Rhinolophus ferrumequinum: one gene and its partners. The protein of the gene in region 3 interacts with the protein of the main gene of each other region in a pairwise test. Links are inferred from orthologs where the notes say so. Each region holds a gene or a part of one and is shown on either strand. Other genes may lie near its edges.

What was found. The genes of interacting proteins can lie anywhere in the genome.
Region 1: the proteins of STAU1 (region 3) and LONRF1 interact in binary tests that used the Homo sapiens proteins (3 or more experiments, as listed by UniProt). The two-hybrid records come from large-scale screens. The link is inferred for Rhinolophus ferrumequinum from reciprocal best matches to the Homo sapiens genes STAU1 and LONRF1.
Region 2: the proteins of STAU1 (region 3) and NXT1 interact in binary tests that used the Homo sapiens proteins (3 or more experiments, as listed by UniProt). The two-hybrid records come from large-scale screens. The link is inferred for Rhinolophus ferrumequinum from reciprocal best matches to the Homo sapiens genes STAU1 and NXT1.

What each region holds. Positions count from the first base shown.
Region 1 is NC_046287.1:69,225,509-69,233,363, forward strand, and holds the start of LONRF1 (LON peptidase N-terminal domain and RING finger protein 1), read right to left. Parts: upstream 3,010-7,855; 5' UTR 2,907-3,009; coding exon 2,186-2,906; intron 1-2,185.
Region 2 is NC_046306.1:43,765,973-43,773,809, reverse strand, and holds the start of NXT1 (NTF2-related export protein 1), read right to left. Parts: upstream 3,010-7,837; 5' UTR 2,639-3,009; intron 378-2,638; 5' UTR 318-377; coding exon 1-317.
Region 3 is NC_046306.1:10,051,475-10,059,291, reverse strand, and holds the start of STAU1 (double-stranded RNA-binding protein Staufen homolog 1), read right to left. Parts: upstream 3,015-7,817; 5' UTR 2,880-3,014; intron 1-2,879. UniProt on the Homo sapiens protein: Binds double-stranded RNA (regardless of the sequence) and tubulin.

The sequences.
Region 1 (7,855 bases), on a different chromosome or scaffold from region 3:
TACTAATGCCAAAAAAAAAAATCTTCCTTGGAAATTTATATTAAAAATTTTCATTGGATGAGCTATAAAGGCAGGATGAGTACTCCAACATTTAGAACTGGAAGGAAAATACAGTGTTCCCTCTACAACCAGTTAGCTGTGGGCTCTGGACAAGTCATTTCACTGCCCTAGATCCTGCTTCTTCACTTTCAAAATAAGGACCATGGCCTTGATGGTCTGTACCACCCCTCTTAAAATCTGTTCAGCCAAAGCCACAGAGTTGTCTGTATCAGAATTTTGTATTCCAAATAGTTCTTTTTTGTTCTGGGTTTAACATCCCCATAAAAATAGTGAAAGAATATGAAAACATGCCAAGTTTATGCTTTGAGCTCTAAAGGTGTTAAATAACTTGATATATTCTAAGCAAAAAGGTCTAATAAGCACTTAGAGTAAAAGAACCATAAAAAAAATACTTTCAGTTACATAGCTTATAAATTTACCTAATATCTAACATCAATTTCTATTTTATAAGACAGGTATGGGTAAACAGAAACCAGCCTAGGGGGTAGTCTTTTGACTGGGGGGGGGCTAAGGGGGTGCTCTAACTTAAGTTTACACAACAAAGACTGTGATAACAAGTTTAACCACACCTCCCCCCACCCCAATAGGCAAAAGGCAATGCTGAACACAATAGAAGATTCCACTACAGGCCCAAGCAAATTACATCCTGGTTAGAAAAGTATAAAATCCCAGCTAAACAGAAACTCAGGGCAGCGGTCTACTCCACACTCTGGCCCTGGCAACTCCTCTGCCAGTGTTTCTCTTTTTAAATAAACTTTGTAACTTCTATTCCTTTGTGCCTCTTGAATTCTTTCACAATCCGGGAGCTAGCAACCGTGACATTTTAGATTTCTATTTTCTTGGGGATTATTTTCCAAGTATTACTTCAAGTCATCATAGATGCTAAGCTTGAAATACGCTGATTTAACACAAGGTTTAACAATGACACTGTTGACATTTGGGGCCTGGCGATTGTGTGGGAGGCAGTCCTGTGCATTTCAGGACGTTTAACAGCATCCCTGGCCTCCACCCACTGGATGTACCAGCACCAATCCCACAAGGGGTGGCAATGAAAAATGTCTCCAGATACAGTTCCAGATAATGTCCCCTGGGGGGTAAACTCCCCCAGGCAGAGAACAACCGATTTAAATAACAATTCTTCATTTTACATAGGTAAGTCTGAAATGTCCCCTTCCACAGCCTAAAACCACCTTAAGAAAAGTGCTAAGCTAGGTTAGGTGGCCGAAGCTGCTTCTCCGAGGTGAAGAAATAGACAAAAGATCTAAAGGCCTATCCCCACAACTTGATCAAGAGTGGAAAGGCAAACAGAAGCGTGGCAAAGAACTCGATGAGACTACCTCTTTATCTTGGACCGTGAATTAGGTGTATTCGAAACAAAGCACATATATGTTGATGAAATAAGTATGATTTCAAATAGGCAGGTTGAAACTATCAAGAGGAACCAATTCCGCAGGCATTTTCAGGGAAGGCTTGAACACCCCTGGGCAGCTCGGACACCCGCCCAGAGCCGAGTGGCCAGCGGGGCCCCCGGGTGCTGGGTGCGGGCGCCGAGCTCCCGCCACGCCCACCGGACGTCACCCGTTACACAACGCACCCCCCCCCATACACACACAGCTTATGCAATTCTGCCCTCCCGCGGCTTCCAAATTGCCCCAGTGACTTTTGTGGGAGACAAAGGTAAACGTTGCCCGCCTAGGATCCTCTCTCTCCGCCCCGGCTGTCGTTTGCGGAGCGGCCAATTACCGGAAAGAGCGCGGCAGGAAGCGAGCGGCCGCTCCGGCTCGCCCAACTCCCACCCATCCCGCGCTCCGGCGCCCTCGCCCCCACTCCGCTCAGGAGGCGCCCGCCAGACCGCAAGGCCGCGTCCGAGGGAACCCCGCGCCTGTGCGCCCCTCCCCGCGCCGCGTCACAGTCGGCTCCGACGGCGATCCCCATTGTGACCGAAGCACCCCAGGGCGCCGCCCCCTCCCATACTCTCGAGGAGCCCGAGACCCGACACAAGGGAGTCAGGCAGCCTTGGGGAAGCAGAGACACCTCCCGGGGGCACAGACGAGCTTGGGTAGCTATCCCATCCCGACAGGAGGGTGGGGTCGGCCGGGCTCGCGCCGCATCCCCGCGCAGTCACCTGCTCGCAGCGCCTCGCAGGCGGCGGCCAGGGCCTCCCGGTAGCGCCCCTGGTGCAGCAGCTCTGCGACCCGGCCGGTCGCCCGGGCTCGCTCCCGCTGGCCCGGGAACCACTTCTCGGCCAGGTGGTTGAGGACGACGCTGGTTCTGAAGCCAGAGGTGGCGATGGCGGTGGCCAGAGGCGGGGACCGCGGAGCGGTGCCCTCAGCATCAGTGGCAGCGGTGACGGCGGGTGGCAGCCGGTCCCGGCAGAGGCGGCAGCGGGAGCGGAGCTCTCTCCGCAGGCAGCGGCGGCAGTAGCTGTGGCCACATGGCACGGTCACCGGCTCGCTCAGAAAGTCCCGGCAGCCCAGGCAGCTGAGCAGCCCACCGGCGCCGGAGTCCGCGCCCGCTGCCGGGGTCGCGCTCCAGCCCAGCCCATGGCGGAGCCGGTAGTTGAGCACCAGGCAGTCCACCAGGGTGCCCAGGCACTCGGGCCTGACCGGGGCCCCTCGGCGCAGCGCCGCCGCGTACGCCTCCAGCGCTCCCTTCAGGTGGCCGCCCAAAGCCAGCAGCTCGCCGCGGCGGAGTAGCAGCTCCCAGCACTCCGACTCCGCGGCCGCGCGCTCCAGCCGGTCCCCGCTGCCGCCGCCCAATTCCCAGAACCGGCCTCGGCTCCGCGGCCTGGGGGCCATCTCCCGGCTCCCTCCGGGGGAGCTCCTCGCAACGGCCGGAGAAGACATGGCCCGCAGAGGGCTGCTCTGCCGCCGCCGCCCGCCGCCACGGTCCCGGAGTCTCCCCGACGCGCGGTTCCGCACGCGGCCCGCGAGCAGGGGGGCGTGGCGCGCGGACACGGCGGGGCGGCGCGCGCCCGGGAAGCCCCGGGGGCGGGGCCTGGCGTGCGCGGGGTGGGGCCGGGCTCCGCTAGAGCACCCGCGACTCCCCCGCACCGCCGCCGGCCGGGTCCCCAGGGGGCCGACTGGCTGGCCCCGCCCCTCCCGAAGCCCCTCCTGGCGAGGGACAGGAGGTCAGATGATCCACCAGCGGGGATCTAATTGGCTTCCCCCGAAAGAAGGGCCTGGCTTGTAACTGAACAAAGCCCGAAGGAGCCCAGACCTTCATCGCCCTCCCTTCGCAGCCGAAAGCCCCCCACCTGCCACGGCTTCTCCCCTAATGCCTGCTTCCTCGGCGGTCTTCTGCCAAGAGGCTGGCCTCGTGGGACTAAGCCCTAAATCCCCGCCCACCCGAGTTGGGACCCGCGCCCTTTGTGAGAGCCTCCGGCTGTAGTGTCAGGGTTGTCAGGTACAAATCTGCATTTTCATTAGTTTATGCCCAAGTTACAGATAGACACGTAGAGGGCCTAGGAATGCGTAAAGTCAGTCTGATGACTTTGTGACTCCTCAGGTCTAGAGTCGATCAACTTGAGAAATAATATAACCCCACCCACGTTCCTGAGGTGACTCCTTCCAGAGGGCAAGACAGTATTCCGTGGTGCCAAGTTACTGTTTTCTTTGCTGTTTAAAACTCACCCCCACCTCAAGGGAGAGAGCCCACACGTTCCCGAGGTGTCAGTTCTACCCTCCACATCTCATTCACTGCCCTACAGCTAGCAAAGACCCATATTTGGCGTTTTTGAAGAGTAAACACCAGGATGAATGCTTTTCACATAGTTATCACCGTATAACTAGAACCCAAGCAGAATCTGCAGTTCTGCTGACAAAAAAAGATCCGTTTCTATATTTTCTTTAAACTTTATGGCAGTGAGTTTAAAGCTCTCAGTTGAAATATTTACAGATCTGATTATAGGGTTCTAGATTGTTAATGCTGGAAAGTGACTTAGAACTTTTAGTTATTTTTTGAATGGTTAGAAACAATGGCCCAGAGAGGGCAAGTTATTTGCCCAAAATCACATTGCTAATATTATACAGAGGTTTTAAGATCACCTAACTCTGATTCTACTATTATGTTACCATGTTAGAGCTTAGAAATACTATTTTACATGAGATTTTCAAAATAAGCTGCTAGATGGAATGTTAGCCTGAGCATGCTATGTCTGAAATCGGCCAACGTTTAATATCCATCTTTATACAGAACAGGTAATTGCGCTCAAAAGTGCTTTGAGTTACATGTGTTTTTACTACACAATGAGCAAATTGTGTAACTTCGGAGGAGATGGAGATATATTGTCCCAAAAGGAACAAGGAAAAAGCTAACTGAGGAAAAGCTGAGGCTTTTGTTCCAAACAGTGTGCAGAGGCAAACAAGTTTATCACTCACGTCAAACCCCGAGCAAATTACAGCTAAGACCCAAGGAGCAACTTCTAGTCATTTGAGGTGGGGAATATTGGGATTAATTCATGAGCATAATCTTGAACCTAATTCTAACCCCCTAAATTACTACCTTCCTTCAATAAGCAGAATGACTTCAGTCAGATGCCCACATACTCACTGAGACTTGAAACCATAAGTGGTACAACAGGTATCCTTAGGTACGTGGACATTGACGTTTGCGATGCGTTCCTGTCCTTAACAGCAGCTTGCAAAATGTGCAATAGTAAATAGTAAATTACTGAGCAGTAAGTATGTTCATGATTACACCAGAAGTATGAAAAATTGGTGAACATGCATATCTTATTAAATACAGTTTAAATCAGGTTTTGTCATGTATGGTTCAGAAAATAATATAAAGTTTCATTTGTCCTTTGGAGTTTCTTTCCCTAGTAAATGTGACAACCACATTTGATTCTGGTGTGAAATAAAATGGTACAAGTATAATGGGAGAGGGAAAAAATGGGACTGTAGGAGGAACCTTGCCGTGTTCTGCTTGGCGTTTGTGAATGGTAATAATTCATGTTTGCTGGTTTATACATTTACATAACTGGTTCTCATTTATGTAACTTATTTATGTAAGAGGCTGTACTGCCTCTGTGGCCTTTGTGTACTGCACAATTTCCCTCTGAATCCGGAAGTCTGGGGCAAAACAATCACTGGCTCTATGACAGTTCACTCTTCACAGTCATCCTGTGCCACCAAAAGAGGATATGCACTCTGATGCGACTGCTTTTTAAATTCAGAGGAGAGAAAAATGAGTGTATCTCTTCGTTCATTTTCTAAAATTTGGACTTTGGTCTCTGACTCACCCAGGGAGGCTGCCAGGGAGAAAAGAGAATTCTGTGAAAGAGCCCCCAGGCTGGGAGGAGGGCAATGGGGTGAAGAACTCTCCTCTGTTTTCCTTTCAGCATTACTTGCTTGGTCTTTTCTAACAAAGTAGTAAAATCATGAGATTTGTATTTCATTTCAGTTTTAATTTTAGTGTTGTCTTCTAAAATAGATCAGTTATGTAAGAGAGTAAGAAGAAAAGCATATCTGTTTCCTAATTTGGAAAATGCTTATCACCATCATTGCCTGCATAGCCCTGCCCTCCCCCACCCTTCCTCACCCCCCTACACACACACCACAAGGAGACTTTGCCTGAGAGAGTTAGGTAAACTCCTATGAAAGAGTAATGTAGCATAGTGCTTTCTTTGGACACCCGTCAGCTGAAGATGAGTATTTGAACCTGTTTTTTAACGGGGGTGAATTTACCATTTGTTCCTTCACATTCTTTTCATTAAAAAAGCCTGAATTTAAGCTTCAAGAGCCAAGCAAAATTATGCCCTCTTCCTGATTAATTTCAGTTGGCAACATTCTCGTCTGCATTGAAAACAGTAAAGTGTCATATAATCAGTACCTATCCAGTAGCATATCCACACATATTGCACAGATGGAAGGAGCTATAGAGACCACCGCTCATACCCCTCCTGCGATATATGTATATAAGAACGCTGAGGTTGGAGAACCTGCTGAGTTAATAGAAGTCATACTGAAGAAGGAATCCAGAGACCTGGGACTGACCATGTTTATGCCTTTGTCTGTGAGGAAGTCCCTTGGCCATCTCTGAGTGTGGTTTGTCATCTGTAAAAGGAGGGAACTGTAACTCTCTCTCAGGTGCTTCTGCCCCTGGATCCAAGCCCTAGGGGTTTGTTTGAACACAATGAGAGGAGGCAGAGAGTCTCCCAGACTCAGGAACACAGCAACATGACACCTGATGAAAATGTAACAGCAGAAGGTGAAGGCTGGAATACAAGAGGAGGATATCAGGGAGCACATTTTGTTGATGTGCACCCAGCCCTGTCCAGAGGGGGGAGTGGCCATTCTCTGGGATGTGAATGTTTTCAGTGACTGGACAGGGATCCCCCACACCTCTTCACCCCTACTGTAAATCTATGAGAGGCTGGAGGAAAGCCGGGGGAGGGGGGAAAAGGGGCTGGTTATATAACTTGGGTATTTGTGGGGTAGTTTATGTAAGATGCTAAAAATACAGTATATGATTGCTATAACGGTGTTCTAAGTGAAAAGCCCTAATGAGGACAACCTGAGTAGGTTAAATAGAGGTGATGCTGAACAGATGTCTAAACCCAATTGCCCGCAATGAGTACTGTCTAACCAAGTACAGTTTACTACTCATCAGTAAACTGTTCTCTGTTATGTGGGGAACACAGCCAGTGTGTTCAAGGGGCACTACCCTTACCATTCTTAATTCTTTTCTAACACTCTGAAGAATCTAGAATCTAGAAACACCAAGTAGGTATAGCTGGCTCCAGATAGAACTAGATAGCTCAAATGTAGCCAGCAGTAGCTGAGTTTAATAAGCGTTCATCTATATCCATTTACATAAACAACTTGCTTCAAAGAATGATTTGGAATTTTGTAGGATAAACTTGTTTGTGTCTATCGGAAAAAAAAATAGAGCCATTTATATGTATAAGGAAAGTTTGCAACTGCTGAGATGGTGTGTGTGGAAAAGCACTGAGGCCCAAAACCCTCTAACCCAGAGGGCAGCCACCTGGATTCAGTATGCCCATGGGCAAAGTTTCTCCAGCTCTGGACGATGAGGGCGTTGTAATATGTACTTTCCATAGTCCCTTCCAGCCCAGAGAGGCTGTAGTTTCTGAACACATCCCTGCCTTTTGATAATTTTCGAGGGGAAAACCAAGTACGCTGGGCCCACATTTGAAATCTTTAATCTTGTAATTAGCCCCCTGTGGGCCTGCCCCCAGAGGGGCGGTGTCTACATACTCATGCTTGCTTCTGTCTGGGGCCTAGGTGGGGTCACGGAGTTGGGAGAATCGGGGTTGCATGGCATCCTTGTCCTGAGGGGGCAGCTGTCCAGGGATGAGGACAAAGGGCGAAAGGATGCACTAGGTCCCAAGGGGCAGGAGAGGGTGAAAGGCGGCCCCGCGGGGTCATGTAGGTGGGTGATGGCTCTGGAGAAAGGTGGGCACTTGTGGATCACCATTCAAATGGAGGGATGAAAAAGAGGAGGGCGGTGAAATGGCGAGTCCTGCCAGGGAAGGCCACTCCCGAGCGCACCACCCCATCTTGGTGCCTTCGGATGGATGCCATTTCGGATCCAAACTCTTAGGTTCGTCTCCAGCTGGCACGAAGGGGCTTAGTAGTGGGTAATCAGCGCCCCCATACACTTGCTAGCAGTCCCTGCCCTGGTACTCTGGAGCAAAAAGGAGCCCTGTGCAGATCATGGCTCAGCCATCTGCCCGGGAGGCCTGGGGAGGCAGGCGGTCTGCTAGGTGAGGTGCGGTGAGGCAGGGGTGGAGGAGCCTTCGAGAGCTGTCTGGTCCCAAGGCAGCCATGAG
Region 2 (7,837 bases), about 34 Mb from region 3:
TGTTTGTTGCCTTCAAATTTCACTGTTCCACAGATCACAACGAGGACTGTAGTCTGGCTTGGGGTGGCTTCATCATGAACAGGTTGACAATCTACCACATTGATTTGGAACTCACTGGAAGGCAACATTTCAAAAAACTCACTCAAGGACTCTTGTCCCGAAACAGCATTTCCGTTCCACACCAGGGTGGCCGTGCCCATGTATAGGCGGGAGAGCAGACGCCGCCGCTTATCCATGGTGGTGTAGTAGACATTGACAAACTCCTCAGCAGCCCTGCAGGCCTGATCCACGTAGGTCTTGAAGTCCACTGATGCCATCTCTGGCTTTGCTGCAGGAGATCTCAGCCCAGGTGCTTCTGGCACCTGATGGAGCCGGGGCTGTGGGGCAGGAAGATTGAAGAGAACTCATGTGAATGCCAAACTTCGTTCTGCCCTGACAATGAAACACTCCTGCTCTTCTATCGGTGGCAAAACAATTACATACTGTAGAGAGATGACTCTAGGCTCAAATTGCTGCCAGCATCTATTCTTACTGAGCCTCATTTTGCTCATTTTAAAATGGGAATATTACCACTTGTTGCATAGTTGTAATGTGAGAATCAAATAAGACAATACATACCAACTGTATAGTTACAAAGCTGGATACCTACATGCTCAGAAAATGGTAGCTATTATTATGAATTTTAAACATCTTCTTTTATAAAATATAGTATTGGACTACGGAAAGCCACTTTTTCCTGAAAGCATGGAACAGGTGTGACTGTCCCTAGAGAAGTAGGGAACCAGTTTACCCTGGGTAAAGACAGTGGACCATGCTGAAGTGAACAGTGACCCAATAAAGGCCAATTAGATGGTGCATGCTAATCAGCTAGTGACAGTCTGGGAAAGCCTATCATGAGTTCACCCAATGGAGACTGGAAGGGCAAAAAAAGGGGAGGCTTCTTAAGATGGTAAGAGAACAAATGCCAAGAGGACAGAACCAAAATGGTGGCCATAATCCTTATCAGCTATAAGAAGCAAACCTGGAGGCTTACTGGGAATGAGAATGGAAAATACCTATTATCTGTGAGCACAAATACCCACCAGGTAAGTTCTGTGAGACATGATGGAAAGACAAGTTAGAATCGAAGAAATTCTATGGGGTGGTGGTGGGGCTGGTGGTGGCAAAAGAGCTTCAACTATAGCTGAAATGTAACATTTCTTAAAAAAAAAAATGTCCAAAAGCATAAAGAAATATCATTATTTGTTTTTTTTTCCAGGGTCTGGTTCACTGTTCTAGTTCTGTTCTTTTCTGCATGGTTAAAATATTTCACTAAACAAATTTAAAAAAAAAATCCAACAGAGGACAACATTACTAAAATAGTGGATATGTTTCGAATTACAAAATTAAATATTGATAAATTTTTTTCATTTCACAGACCGGAACTTTTTTTTTTAATATCAGTTTATGAAATACATAAAAGATTCCACACAGGACTGGGAAGGAGTCAGGTACTCTTAAGGGCTGAGAAAGGTGGAGCCCTCCGCCTCCTGTAAAGAACTGTAAGGAGTTGGGAGGGAGATTGGTTCTAGAAATGAGCAGTTCCAGAGCCAGGTACAGATGTTGGGTTTTCCACTCTCTCCATGGACCTAAAGTCAAGCCTCAACACTCTTGAGTTAGTACTTGCTAAGTGTTTTACATGCATTACTTCATTTAATGGTCACCACAAATGGATGGTGAGAGGGTATTACTATAAAAACAATTTTACTAATAAGAAAATTGAAACTTAGGTCTGGATCAAGGTCTTGACAGTAAGTACACTCCTGATTTATCATTTATAAGAACGTGTGCTGCCCCTGAAAATGTTGTCAAGACTATGTTGTTCTTTTACTTGCTTGTTTTTTAAGTTCCTGCATTTTTGATATCAAGTCTGTAACAGCACAGTTCCAGGATGGCTAGTTTGAAAATTCTCTTTCAGGGGCCCACATTTCTCTTTTGCTGGAATTCCCAACGACCCAAAGCCCACAGTATTTCTCACATTGACATTCCTCTCTTTCCACCATCTCAGTTCAATTTTGGAAACGCTCCATCTCCACCCGTTCCTGGCTCACGTTCTCCAGTTCTGCCAAAGCAGTCTGTCCAGATTAACCTGCTCCGCCCCCATACGCATTAAAATGACCACCGCCACTTCCTGTGGTTCGGTCACCCACGGAGCTTCCGGCTAGCCAGTCTGTATCAAATTAGAGAAAATAATGATCCTGATAAGTGGAAGAAGAGGCTGTGAAGCTCGCCGTCTTCAAAAGTCCCCACCGTCCAGTTCTTTGGAGCGGGACCAGAGAAGATGCATCAGGCCTCATTTCAGGTCAGGTGGTGAGTGGCTTTTAATCAAAAACGTAAAGTATACTCTCCCCGGCCATGTTCTGGCCCGGGACCTGCTCCAGCTCCAGTACATACTCTTAATCCCCAGGCGAATTTACTGCCTAGCTTTCGGCACATGTGATAGCCTGATACAGAACTGCAACGCCGCCACGTGGACAAGGACAAAACCGGCTTATTCCTGACAATGGAGGGAGGGCGTGGGGTACACACGTGGGTCTAGTGGATTCCTCGGCCTAATCTGTGGTCTTCAGAATGACTGAAGGGGGGGGGGGTCACGAACCTGCGCCGGTGAAGTCGAGGGTGAGTGGGGTGGCCTCGAGTCACGTGCGCGGCGACTTCGGCCAGCTGGGCGGCCCGGGGTCAGCGTGGGCGGTGGCGGCCTCGGTCAGCTGGGGTACCGCGGCCCCAGTCCGCTGTGCCCCACCCTGGCCGCAACTCCACCGAGGGCCGGCCCCGGAAGGTCGCCGGCGTGCTTGCCGCGGCCCTGCACTCTTCCGCCGTTCGCCTCAGGAGGAGCCAGGAAAAGCCGTCATCCGCCCCTCCTCTTCCTCCCGTGAGGCTCCTCCCCGGTGCCCGGCCCTCTGAGCCAGCAGCTTGACACCGGCCTCTGCGGGTTACCGCTTGCGGCTGTCGGTTCTTCGCTCATAAGCCAGCGCCCCCGACCCCGGCCACGCCCACCGCCTTGTGACGGGCAACTGTGCCAACCAGTGGGACGGCGGGCCCGGAGGCTAGCTCCGCCTAGGTGTGGCTCAGAGGAGGTGGCGATTTCCGGGAGGGGCGCTTTTTCAGAAGACCGCAGCATATCCGTGCTGGACTTTTCATTGGTTTAACCGGATCATAGAATCCGACCCAACTGGTCAGGTTGGGTCCCTGATTGGATGAAAACTCAAAAGTCCAATCGCCCGCGTTGAGCGTGGGTCGGCCCTTCTGCTACACGAGATCGCTTAGTGGGGGAGGATGGGGAATGTGTGCGGGTCACGCAGAGGTCCCTTCTCCCACGTCCTCTATTCACCAGTAGTTGGGGGTGATACTAATTAAAACACTAGAGAAACTTCACGACTTGATGCGATCACGGGAAACCAGCAGCGACAGTGACCAGACAGTGACCCAACTAAGGATTTTAATAGGAGATACCATGTGGAGAGTCAGGATGTCCCGTGAGGGAACCAGGAATATTAACCACCAAGATGATGAAGCTGGCAGAGTTTCTATTGAAGTCTACCTGATCAAGTACCTGATCTGATCCTAAAGGATACATAGAGGGAAATCAATTTTTGTTAAGTGGGAAACTTAACTACGTAAATGTGAGAAAGGAAAGAGTTGAGCGGGTGGATAAGGCTTGAAGTGACAAAAGTATGCCAATAGGGACACTTACCTTCGTGTGTCCTGTGAATTGGGCTAGGAAAACCTCCTGGCTCCAGCTGTGGCTCAGAGCTTGGTTGGTATTGTGATTCTTTCTGTTCTCCAGGCCTAAAACTAGCTGTATTTCAGCTAAGCTGGAATCTGGGCTGATTTTTTTTTTTTCCCACTGAATTTTTTTTTTTTTTTTTTTTTTTTTAAACAGGCTCAATAGAATAGAACCAATTAGCGTGGGACTTGGGAAACTTAAAGTTTACAGCATAAATTTAAAATTTTGGTTTCTTCGGACACAAGAATCTCAGGTCCATCGACTGGTCTGAGAGGCTGAATATTAATTCCTTGAAAATCTGTCAGAGCCTTTGGGATGGGGAGGTTTACTGATCTTTAGAGTGTATGTGCCTTCATCTCATACCTTATCTATTTATGACATACCTTTGCTTGCATTCCTAAGATAACTCTTGCTCTCTGGTTTCAGGACAAATTTAGAAACTGGGTGAGCTTTTTCATATAGGCAATCCCCCCCCAACACTTAAATCAAGAAGGTGAAAAATTTGGATTATAAAAAATTAAGTTGGAGGCTGCATAGAGAGGGTGAGCTAGCATCTATGGATAGTATTCACACTAAAATGTCTTCAGAAAGTCTGAGGCAGTGAAATTAGTATGTAATATACAAAAATCCACATCATAGCATCAATGGAATGAAAATGAGAGTTGACTTACTGCATGCCCACTAGGTTGGATATTGTGTTGCCTTAAGTTTCCTCATATTTCCCATGTAAGCTCTTTTTATTTTGTCAACAAAAGGTCCCCAGCCACCAGTCTAATGCCAACAAGAGTCTCCAATCAAGGGTCAATAAAAGGAGAGACTCCTCAGGTGAACAGTTTGCAAACCCAGGAAACACAGCATCCGGTGAAAAAGGAAAATGTGCTTGCTTCCCTCACCTCTCTCCCCCACAAACAAAGGAATTTTGGGAAAGATGCTTTTATAGAGAAAGTTCCTGCTTTGGTCCCTGATCAGTCCATTTCTATGTAAATGAGGAATCCAAATTTGCATAGTTTGATTGGTCCACATAGCACTGTCCTAATTGGTTGGAATCATGTGTCCTGATTGGTCATTATGGAGGTGCTCTAATTGTTTGGTAAAGATGTAAATGAGGCTACAGTGGCACAGTTCTGATTGAACAAGGCAGGTCTCAGTCCATTGGTTGAAATATGATTCCAGAAACTTCTTTACATGTAAAGGTACTTCTAAGTCAAAAATCCTTGTGGCTTAGCGGAGTGATTGTGGCAAGTGAGTTAACTTCCCTGAAGCTCAGCTGCCTCATCTGTAGAATGGGGATGGTAATAATATCCATCTCCTTGGGTTGACCTGAGGAGCTCATGAAACAATGTATAGTAAGTATTTAGCGCAGGGTCAGAGCACAAAGTAAGCATCCAGGAAAAGTTAGTTTGCTTCGACATTTTGCATCAACTGCAACTTCCTTATTTGCCAACAATTCCTTCAACAACTGGCTTTTAAATTTCGGATGAGCATAATGACAAATTGGTAGGATTTGTCACCAAATCACATGGGCACCTTCTGGAAATGAGCCTGGCTTAAGCAGCAGTGAAGCAAGTGGCTCCATTTGCTGTGTGGAGTCAATCCAAGGAAGAAGACCACATATAGTCATGCACACCAAGCCTTTGGCAGCTCTGAAGACAGGTGAATTTTGGATCTTCAAGTCTAAACACAGCATTAAGCTTTTCCTCATTTTCAATATAGTTTTTTGGTGCAGGATCTATCAGCATCTGTTTGCCACGAGAGGCTGTGGCAAACACTTGCAACTGTTTCTATTTTTTGTTTTTGTTTTGCTGTTACCTCTATAATTCTGAATAATAAGCTTGTAATTCAATTGCTTGATTCATCAACTTGAGACAGTCTCCAATGACTTCATTACAAGGAAGGCTCATTCACAAGATATATGTTTAGCCAATTTCATTATGTTGCAGTGGTTACTTTGTAGCTTTAAAAAAGCTATTACTCCTCTGCTTCCTATTCTATCAATGATAGAGGATATCATTTTTCTGCTCTCTTGTATGAAAATAGCAGTTCTCTGAACTATCTCTTCCTAAGTCCCATCTTTGTACACAGTCAGGGAGTTGCTGTCAACTCTGTACTTGTAATGTCACACATGGCCACCCAGCCTGAAACCCATGCTTCCTCGTTTCTCTCACAACTAGCTGTGTCAGGTATATGACTTTTTCGGTTGATAAGATGTACTTTGCAGTGTGGGATTTTCTAAAAGTAAGGAGACTGGGCCATCTTTCCCTTTTTCTCCATTCTACTACCCCAAATGCAGATGTGATAGCTGGTGCTTTGGCTGCCCTTTTGAACCAGGCAGATGTGGGCTAGATCCTAGGGACGGACTTGGTTCCATTGTGATTTCATGGAGCTGCCGCAAGAGCTCTGGATTGTTTACACATAGACATCTTTTATGTGACTTTTTTTACATCATTTCGAGTTTATTTGTTAGATGCCATCAAATCTAATTCTAACTAATATAGTCAGGAATATCTTTGTATTTACAATGTCAAGGCTGACTACATTTACTTTCCATTCTACAACTGATTATATCTCCTATCCTTTGTCTAGATTTGTCTAGATGATTGCAGGTGGTGGGGAGAGAGATAATAAAGATAAATCTAGACTCCTTACTTTTATAATTCTGTACATAGTGATTCCACTAGATTCAATGGGAAATACAGAATGAAGGGTGATTAGGGGGAGAGATGGGTGCAGTTCTGAAATGCTGTGCTGGGGGCGGCAGTATGGGTATTTAAGCGGAGATGACCATTTGGTATTGGGGCTGGAGCATGGGTGATATTCAGCCTGAAGGTGTAGATTTGGGAATTTGATTGCAGGTGGAAATCAAAGCCATAGGCATGGCTGACCTGGTTGACCTTGTTTCATGGTACAGGTACAATGAAAAGTAAAAGGCCCAATTGTGCTTGCCATAGAAGAAACTCAATATACAGTAGCCATCATTATGACCTCACATCACATTGCATGTTTTTCTGAGGGTCGGTCTCTTGTGCTGTTTGCATCAGCCAATATACTAGTTGTATCTTCTGTATCTGCTGAATATTAGAGTTTATTATACTTTTAATAGGAGGGAAAAGTGGAAATGGAAATCACATGGAAAAATAGAGCTATTTTCAGAGTAAATTGAGCTCAGAAAGGATTGCAGGGCTGCGATGAATCAGAGCTTACACAGTCACTTGGGGACACTGATTTAAGTACCTGAGAGTACAAACGTGGATGATTCATGTAGGAAAATCAGTAACGAGAGTTCAGGGGACATTTGGAAGGACTTATGCGGCAGAGGCTTTAGTTGCAGTTCCAGAAAAGGGCAGCAATAGATTGGGACCTTTCCCTCCTTCCAGACTCCTCACACCCCAGGAAGAACTTGAGCCTGAAACCACTTGAGAGATGGGATGAAGTTTTGGTCCCATTGCTATAGCAACCGAGGGGCCCACCTCAGATCTGAGTGGTTGCAAAAGGAACCTGGCAAGGAGTATGGGCGACCCTGGTTGGAGGCACCTCCTTAGCTCCCAGCCCTCGCAGTTCTGCAGTGCTTTGTAGATATCCATTGAGCACATTTTCTGAAGCAGTTCTCTGCAGGCCCAACATCCAAAGTTTTCATTAAGAAACCAGTAAAGCAAACATGCAGGGAAAAGCGAACAGGTTACACTATGTTCGGACTGAGTTTGAGTTGTTCCAAGATTTGTTCCTGAGAAGCTGCAAGCCCAAAGAACACACCAGGTGGCTGAGTGCAGGACATAGATTTATTGAGACTTACAGACTCAGGTGGTGGCTAGCGGGAGGGGTAGTGCTCTGCGCTTAGGCAGATAAGAAACGAGGTTATATAGGTTTAGTGAAACAAAGAGCATTCCATAAGGAAAACCATCTGACAGGCCCTGCTGGCCTGCTCGCAGGCACACAGCATCCCAAGAGGCAGGAGATCTTGATTGTCTGCTAGCTTATGTGACTGTGAGCTAGGTCCCTATACACCAGGACACTTGCACTTCAGCAAATGTGTGAGTGCAGTGGGCTGTCCTACCGGAAGAGTCCGAAGAAAGA
Region 3 (7,817 bases):
TCCCCTAAGTTAATATTAAGAGGTATGCATATCCCTCCCCATCTCCCAGGCTGTAATAACTAAAACATAACATACATTTTCACTGTAACTGATCAAGCTCAAAAATAAGCCTGCATAACTGAAATAACAATGTTACAGGTCTAAAAGCTAGAAACTGTTCATGACCAGAAATGTGAAAATTAAGCAGTAAGACAAATAATATATTCCTGTCAACTTCCATTCTAGGAGAGATCTCTTTTTGGACAAGAAAGAAAAACATGAATATCTATGCTGTGAATTCATTCACACTTAGTAAATATTTGTAAATATAGCAGATGGGGAGGTGGGATCTTTGGAAAATAAGTCTACAACAGAGTTTTGAAATCAAATATCCTTTGCTTAATTCTTAACCTAAGGTGACAGCAGCATATTTACACAAGGACGTAAAGAAACTTTCAAAGTTTTATTATGAATTATTAACTGTTGTTTAACTTTGCCATAAAGTTATTCTGCATTAAAAGTGGTTTTAACAGGTAGACCTCCACCAAAACAGGATTAGGGATCTGTATTTCTGATTGCTTTTCCATTATAGACATTAATAGCTCAAGAACGTTGCTTCTGCACACAAAGAAGTCAGGAAGTACTTTGGATATGACTTTGAGGGGGGTAAACACTGAATCAAGAGCTATAATAATTCGGCTGGTTTTTTGTTTGTTTGTTTTTTCTACTGTATAGTAACCATGTCAAAAGAGATGATGAGAAGCCCAACAAACAAAATGAGAACTGTGATTCTACTACAAGTAAATTTTGTGACAGATTAACAGTCTGGAAAAATCTGGTAAAATTATATGATGTTTCAGATTTGTTTCAAAACCCAGTTTGGGGGAGGCAGTACTACATGAAAGAAAAACTGACCCTAGCTATGAGTTAATATTTATCAAAGCTGAGTGACCAATACATGGGGATTCTCTATACTATTCGATTTTTGTATGTTTTCCATAATAAAAAGGTTTTTTTAATTAGGTTATCTACTACAGTATTAAAACATCATTTCCTTAACACTACAATTTTCCATATGGCAAAAGACATGCTTTGTCTTCTGTTGCTTGTTTAGTTGTTTGCTTACGTGTTTTTAAAGAGTCATCCAAAGATTTTAAACTAGAAACGATGGTAAGACTATGTGTCAGAAAATTCTAGGAAAATGTCAGTAACAGGGAGACCAGTTTGCATCACGAGTGTTATTGAGATGGTGGTAAATCAAAACAGTTAAAGTTCAGTGAGGAAATGTATTACCTAAAATAATCCAACGTACAGGAGGATCATTCAGTAGAGCAAAGACACTCCTTACTTTTCTGTAAATCTGAACCACCATGAGTTATATTTTCTTAATGAAGGGTACACCTACAGAACTAAGTACAGAATTAAAAGAAACTCTGCATCCTTAAATAAAGTTGCTGTTTTATAAATCCTACCTGTCACCAGGATGACCGAAACTGCTCGCTCTACAATCCAACTGTATTTGTAGTTTTTATTTCAACAAGCAGCAAAGTAGTTTACATTTGGTAAGCACACCGATTCTTGAAAACCCAAAAACAACCAAGAATCTGGTTTAACTCTCTTTCCACCACCCTCTAAACAATTAAAGCTACAAGCAGAAGGGAAGAGTGACCTTAAAAACGTCCCCACAGCCAGAGAACAGAGGCAGAACAGACTGAAGCACACATCTTCGCCGAGCAGAAGAAAACTTCCACATAAGCAATACTGCGACACGGAGGTGGGGCAAGGGCTTAAAAGGAAAGTCAGCCAACAGGGACGGAGGGAATAAAAGCACAGCTGCAGTGAAAAAAAAGTTAGAAGTTAGAGATGCAGGCAAGAAAGGACACACATTTTCCAGCTTCGTACACCCCCCTCCAGAGCCTGGCACACAGCAAGCGCTCCAGAAGGGTTTGCTGAACTCAAGGAAAGCTTCTGCCAGCAACTTTCCCAGAAATGGAATGACAACAAGAAGCCGGATGATGGCAGAAAAAAATGGACAGGTTGCTCACACGGAGAGAGCTGGTGAAAATCTTGCAGGTGGATCAGCGGAGGAGATGGAAAGAACAGCATCTATCTGTCACAGACTGCCTACTTACAGAGTGTCCCAATTAAACGTACACCCCTTTCAGATATTAACAACCCAAAACAATAAGCCGGCGCTGGCGGTAGGCACGCTGAACATTTCTGCCTCTACGGAAACTCAAACGGGGAGGTAGGTCAACCTATGTCCACTCTACCCACTAAGTTATACCTTAATATCACGCTAATAAATTATGCAGACGGTTTATTGGGACACGCTGTGGGTCTGGCACTCTGATAAGCGCTTTACACGCCCCAATTCACTGAACCTTAACAGCCTTAAGAGGCAGGGACAGCCTTAGCCCCTTTTTCCAACCAACACAACAAAGAGTTTAGGTGACTGGCCTACGGGGACGAAGCTGGATTTGTACCCGCGTTGAACACCTGGGTGGTGCGCTAACTACTATGCTACAGACCTGCTTGGGGGGATTTAGGTGCTCCGGGTCTCAAGGACTTGAAGCGGGGACCCTCCGCCTCCGCCCCGGGAATAACTTCGGCATCCCGGCGCGCCCGGAGGAATGAGGAAAGGCGGCGTGGCACCTGTTTCTGGCCCCAATAAGAGGTGGAAGGGCTGGGAGCGCCTGGGGTCCAGGCCGCGGGGCGCCCCGACGCGGGGGGCGCGGGAGGACCCGCCTCCTCCGGGAAGGCCCCGCGGGCGGAGCGGGAGGCCCGGGGAAGGAGGCCCGGCGCGCGGGCCCGCCGAGGCCTAGGCCCCACCCGCCGCCCACCTCCCCGCGGCCGCGGCGCCCGCGCGGGCGCCGCCAGGCCGGGCCTGGCCGCCTCACCTGGCTGTTCCCCGGCGCTCGTCCCCCGGCCGGCGGTCCTGGGCGGCGGCGGCGGCGACGGCGGTGTCGGCGGCGAGGAGGGGAAGGAGGAAGGAAGAAGGGAAGAGAAGGGACGGCAGGAGGGAAGAGACGGAGTGGCCGCGGAGAAGGCGGGCGCCGCCGGGCCGGGGATCAGAGGAAGCGGGGAGCCGAACCTGACACGGCCGCCGCGGGCGCAAACCCTGAAGAGCCGCTCCGGCGCCCGCAGCCCCGCAGGAAGTGACGGGGGAGGGGCCTCTGCCCGCCCCCAGCCCCCGCCCGCCTCCATGCCCGGCCCCACCCCCCGCCCGCGGCCCGGACCACAAGTCCCGGCGGGCGCCTGCGCTCGCAAGGCACGCCGGGAACTTAGTGGGCTGGGACCTGGTCTCTCTAGAGCCGCCTAGCCCGCCCTGGGCGCCGGGACCTGCTGGGAGTTGTAGTTCAGCTGGGAGGTGTGACCCGTCCGCGGGAAGCGGGACTGGGCCTCTCTTCTTTCCTCACTCCCCATTCGTTCTTCCGGTTTTCCTCTCCGTCCTTCTCCCGCCTCGGTTCCTCATTTTTCTCTTTCCCTCAATTCCTCCATCCGTAAATGTTTATTAAACGCTTGCTCTGTGCAAAGCCCTGCTCCAAGAGCTAAAAATATGGTGGTAAAGAGACAAAAATCCCTGCCCTCATAGAGCTCACGTTCTTAGGTAACACACACAAAAATAAAATAAGTAACTTTTAGAGTGACTTAAAAGGCAAGAAGTGCCAGATTGCTATTTCTTCCAGCTCTAGATAAATGAAGCGGGTTTTAGCAGCCATCTTATATGATCTTACCTGGCAAGATATACATACTATTTTTACCACTTGTTGTATCGTGGAAGAAAAGAACTGTATCTGGGCTTTAGCCCAGTGATATGCAGATGAGTTAGCAGCGCGCCAACCAGACCAACATTCGGTTGGGGCAGAGGCGGTCCCAAATCACCGTGCTGGTAATCATTTGGATTACCAGTTCCAAGCTCAAGACAGGCTTCAGAGAGATCATATGGTCACCTAATTGAGGGGATGAAAAAAGGTATAAATAAGCGTGTAAACTACAGAGTATTACTCAAGGCGGGAATGAGAATCTGGCCCTTTTTCAATCCTGCCTGGTGGATGCCCTCAGAAAATATACCAACCTAGATCCATGGAGCCACAATACTAGCCATGTATTTCATTGAACAATCAGCTCCAGACATCGGGAGAAAACTCCAGAAATTTTAATTAGGACCTCAGACCCCTTTCCCTCAGCTTCCTAGTCTATTGGACACGGTCTTTAACGTCTTTAACAACCGAGATGAAGCTGAAAGGGAGTCTAGGGTTAGGAAACCGAGGAGAAGGATCACAGAAGGGCTCAATTAATAGCTGCTGCCCGTGCCAGCGCACTTCCTATGCAGCCTTACCCGGGTTCAGGCTCTCATAGAGGGAGACCCCTGAAGACCGGCCCAGACATCTGCTACACCTGCTGTTGAGAAGGGCACAGGAATAAAGATTGCCCACACCAGGCCAGGAAGGCGGATTCTGGCCCTTGTCCCCTTTGCAAAAAGGAAGGACACAGGAAGAGGGAATGTCCCCTTTCCTCTCAAGGAAGGCAGCCACCCAGATTCCATGCTGGCCAAAAGGGCACCTCCTCCAATCGGCTCCTGCCAATGGTCATCGTCAACAATGAACCAGACAACTCTGACCCACTCGCATGATGGGCCCTGGGGATCATCCAGACTTCCCTCCTCAATATCACTGAGGCTGAACCCAGGGTAACACTTGATGTAGCCGGTACAAATATTACCTTTCGAATCAATACGGAAGCCGCTTTCTCTGCTCTTATCCAACACTGGCCCTACACTTCCTTCAGCTCTTCTCCTTACAGGCACTGAGGGAAACCCGACAACCTACAGGTGTACTTTCTCACTCTCAAGCTGCCTCGGGTCCCTCATATTTACCCATTGCTTTTTAGTAATGCTACAGTGCCTGATTCCCTTACTAGGGCAGGATATTACAAGTTACAAACTAGCAGAAGTTACAAACTAGCCTCCACTTAACACCTAAGCCTTCTCTACTGGCCTCTCTGCAGGCTGTTACTTCCTAGTCAAGTGGGAGAGTCCATCCTCCTTTCTATCCCTCCTCAGGTTAATAATCTAGTCAATCCTGCAGTTTGGAATCAAGAGATCCCAGGGGAAGGCATCCCACATCACCCCAGTCCAGATTAAGCTGAAAGTCCCCACAACTTTCCCTTGTATGCTATCAACAAGGAGGCCTAACTTGGGCTTCAACCAACAATTAATTAATTCCTCAGGTACCGCATTTTAATCCTCTGCGATTCACCTTGCAACATTCCCATTTTAGCAGTCAAGAAACCATCTGGTCAGTATCGGCTAGTCCAAGACCTCTGCATTATCAATAAGGCAGTAATCCCAATACACTCCCTTGTCCAAATCCATATACCCTCTGGGACTAATACCACCCAAAACGGAATGGTTTCCTGTCCTACATCTAAAGCAGGGGTGTCCAAACTTTTTTCAACAGTTTTCACCTAGGGCCATATGCGGTAAAATACACAAACAGCCGGGCCACGCACTCGAGGTGAAGTACGTATTGCCTCACCTGGTTTAGTGAAGTAAACTAAATATATTTTTGGAATTTGCTGTGGGCCAATTAACAATGGATTGCGAGCCGCAGTTGGCCTGTGGGCCGCAGCTTGGATACCCCCGTCTAAAGGATGCTTTCTTTTGTATTCCTTTAGATCCCCGGTCCCAATTTCTTTTTGCTTTTACCTGGACAGGTGCTTTTACCTCACATGCAGGTCTGCCAACAATACACCTGGACTGTCTTACCACAGGGCTTCTGCAACAGTCCACACATTTTTGGATTAGCTTTAGCCGGGGGCTTAAGAGACCTGTGCCTCCCTGAAGCCACCATTCTCCAATATGTGGATGATCTTCTAATCGGCAGTCCCAATAAACAAAGCTCAGAGCAACATGCTATCGAGACGCTAAATTTCCTCACTAGGCAGAGATATACAGTATCAGCCTCCAAAGCCCAGATTTCACAACAACAGGTTACATCCCTGGGGTCTGTACTCTCACCGGGGCAATGACAACTGAGCACCTTAAGAGTAGAACTCGTTACTTCCATGCAGCCTCTCAACACCAAGAGACAATTAAGGACCTTCCTTGGTATGGCTGGGTAGGGTATTGCCAGATCTGGATTCCCAGTGCGGAGGCACAGCCAAACCTGTGTACACGGCTTTAAAAGGTCCAGATCATGAGCCTTTATGTAGACTGGAATGTGGAATTAGAGCGGGTGTTCCGTTCTGTCCAGAAGGTTCTTCCTGAGGCCCCAGCCGTAGCTCTCCCCAACCTCTCCGAGCCTTTCTCCCTTTACATCTCAGAGAGGAGAGGGATTGCTTTAGGACTCCTTATTCAGACCTTAAGAGCAGTTCCACGCCCAGTGGGCTACCTATCAAAGAACCTAGATCGGGTAGCAAAAGTCTGGCCTCCCTGTTTAGGAATTCTAGCTGCCTTAGCTTTACTTTTAAAGGAAGCCTTAACATTTACTTTTAACCAGTCTCTGACCATTTACACTCCTCACCAAGTAATAAACATCCTCCATGCTAAGGCCCCTCACTGGCTGTCAAACAGTTCCAAACCCTTCGGCTTGACTCCCTGGACTTCACTATAAAACCCTGCAATACGCTACTTCCACTCCCACCCCCACCCCCACCCTTCTACCGGATCCATCCACCCAGGAGGAGCTCAGATGCTTAACGGCCCTAAACCTCTCCCATTCTGCCTGGGAAGACCTAGAGGACACCCCGTTCCCGAACCCTGATGCCATCTGGTTCACAGACGGGTGTAGTTTCATTAATCGGGAGCAGCAGAAGTCTGGTTACACCATTGTCTCCAGATCAGAGGTAATTGAGGCAGGCCCCGTCCCATTTCCACATCAGCCCAGAAGCCCAGCTCATCACTCTAACCAGAGCACACCTTCTAGCCAAAGACCTCCGAGTTGGAATCTGTACTGACTGTAGTATGCCCACTATATCCTCCACGCTCACGCAGCAATCTGGCTAAAAAAGGGTTTCCTTCCAGCCCAGAACAGCCCCACTAAACTCGGGGCCAAGATCCTCCAGTTATTTGAAGCAGTTAAGTCCTCTGTCAGAGTAGCCATCATTCACTGGCAGGGGACATCAATCCAAGACAGATGAGATCTCCCATGGCAACAATTTTGCAGACCAAACAGCCAAGCAGGATGCCCTCTCTACTACCGTGTTTCCCCGAAAATAAGACCTAGCTGGACCATCAGCTCTAATGCGTCTTCTTATATTATAGTAAAATAAGACCAGGTCTTATATTAATTTTTGCTCCAAAAGATGCTTTAGAGCTGATGGTCCGGCTGGGTCTTATCTTCAGGGAAACACGATATTAAGGTCCTTCCCCTCCTTCCAATGGGCTTTACTTTTCAATCTAATTACACACCACAGGAAGCCCTTAAGGCTAGGAAGAAGGGTTATACATCCAACCCCCAGGGCTGGCTCATAGATCCAGCCCTGAATCTGTTCATCCCACGAGCCTCCCAATGGAAGCGTCTCTATCACTTCCATCATACCACCCACCTTGGAGCTCAAGCACTCACTGAAATCACTGAGTGGCATTTCATAGGACCGAACATACTAGCAGATTGACAGAATATCTCCAGACTTGTCCCATATGCCTTAGAACTAACCCTGAAGGACAGCTTAAGCCTCCTTCCCTCTTAGAACCCACCCAGAGAAGAGGACAACTCCCAGGAGAAGACAGGCAGATAGATTTTACTCATATGCCTCCCTGCAAGGGTTGCTGTTATCTCCTTGTTTTCATTGACATTTTCACAGGCTGAATTGAAGCCTTTCCTTCCAAAACA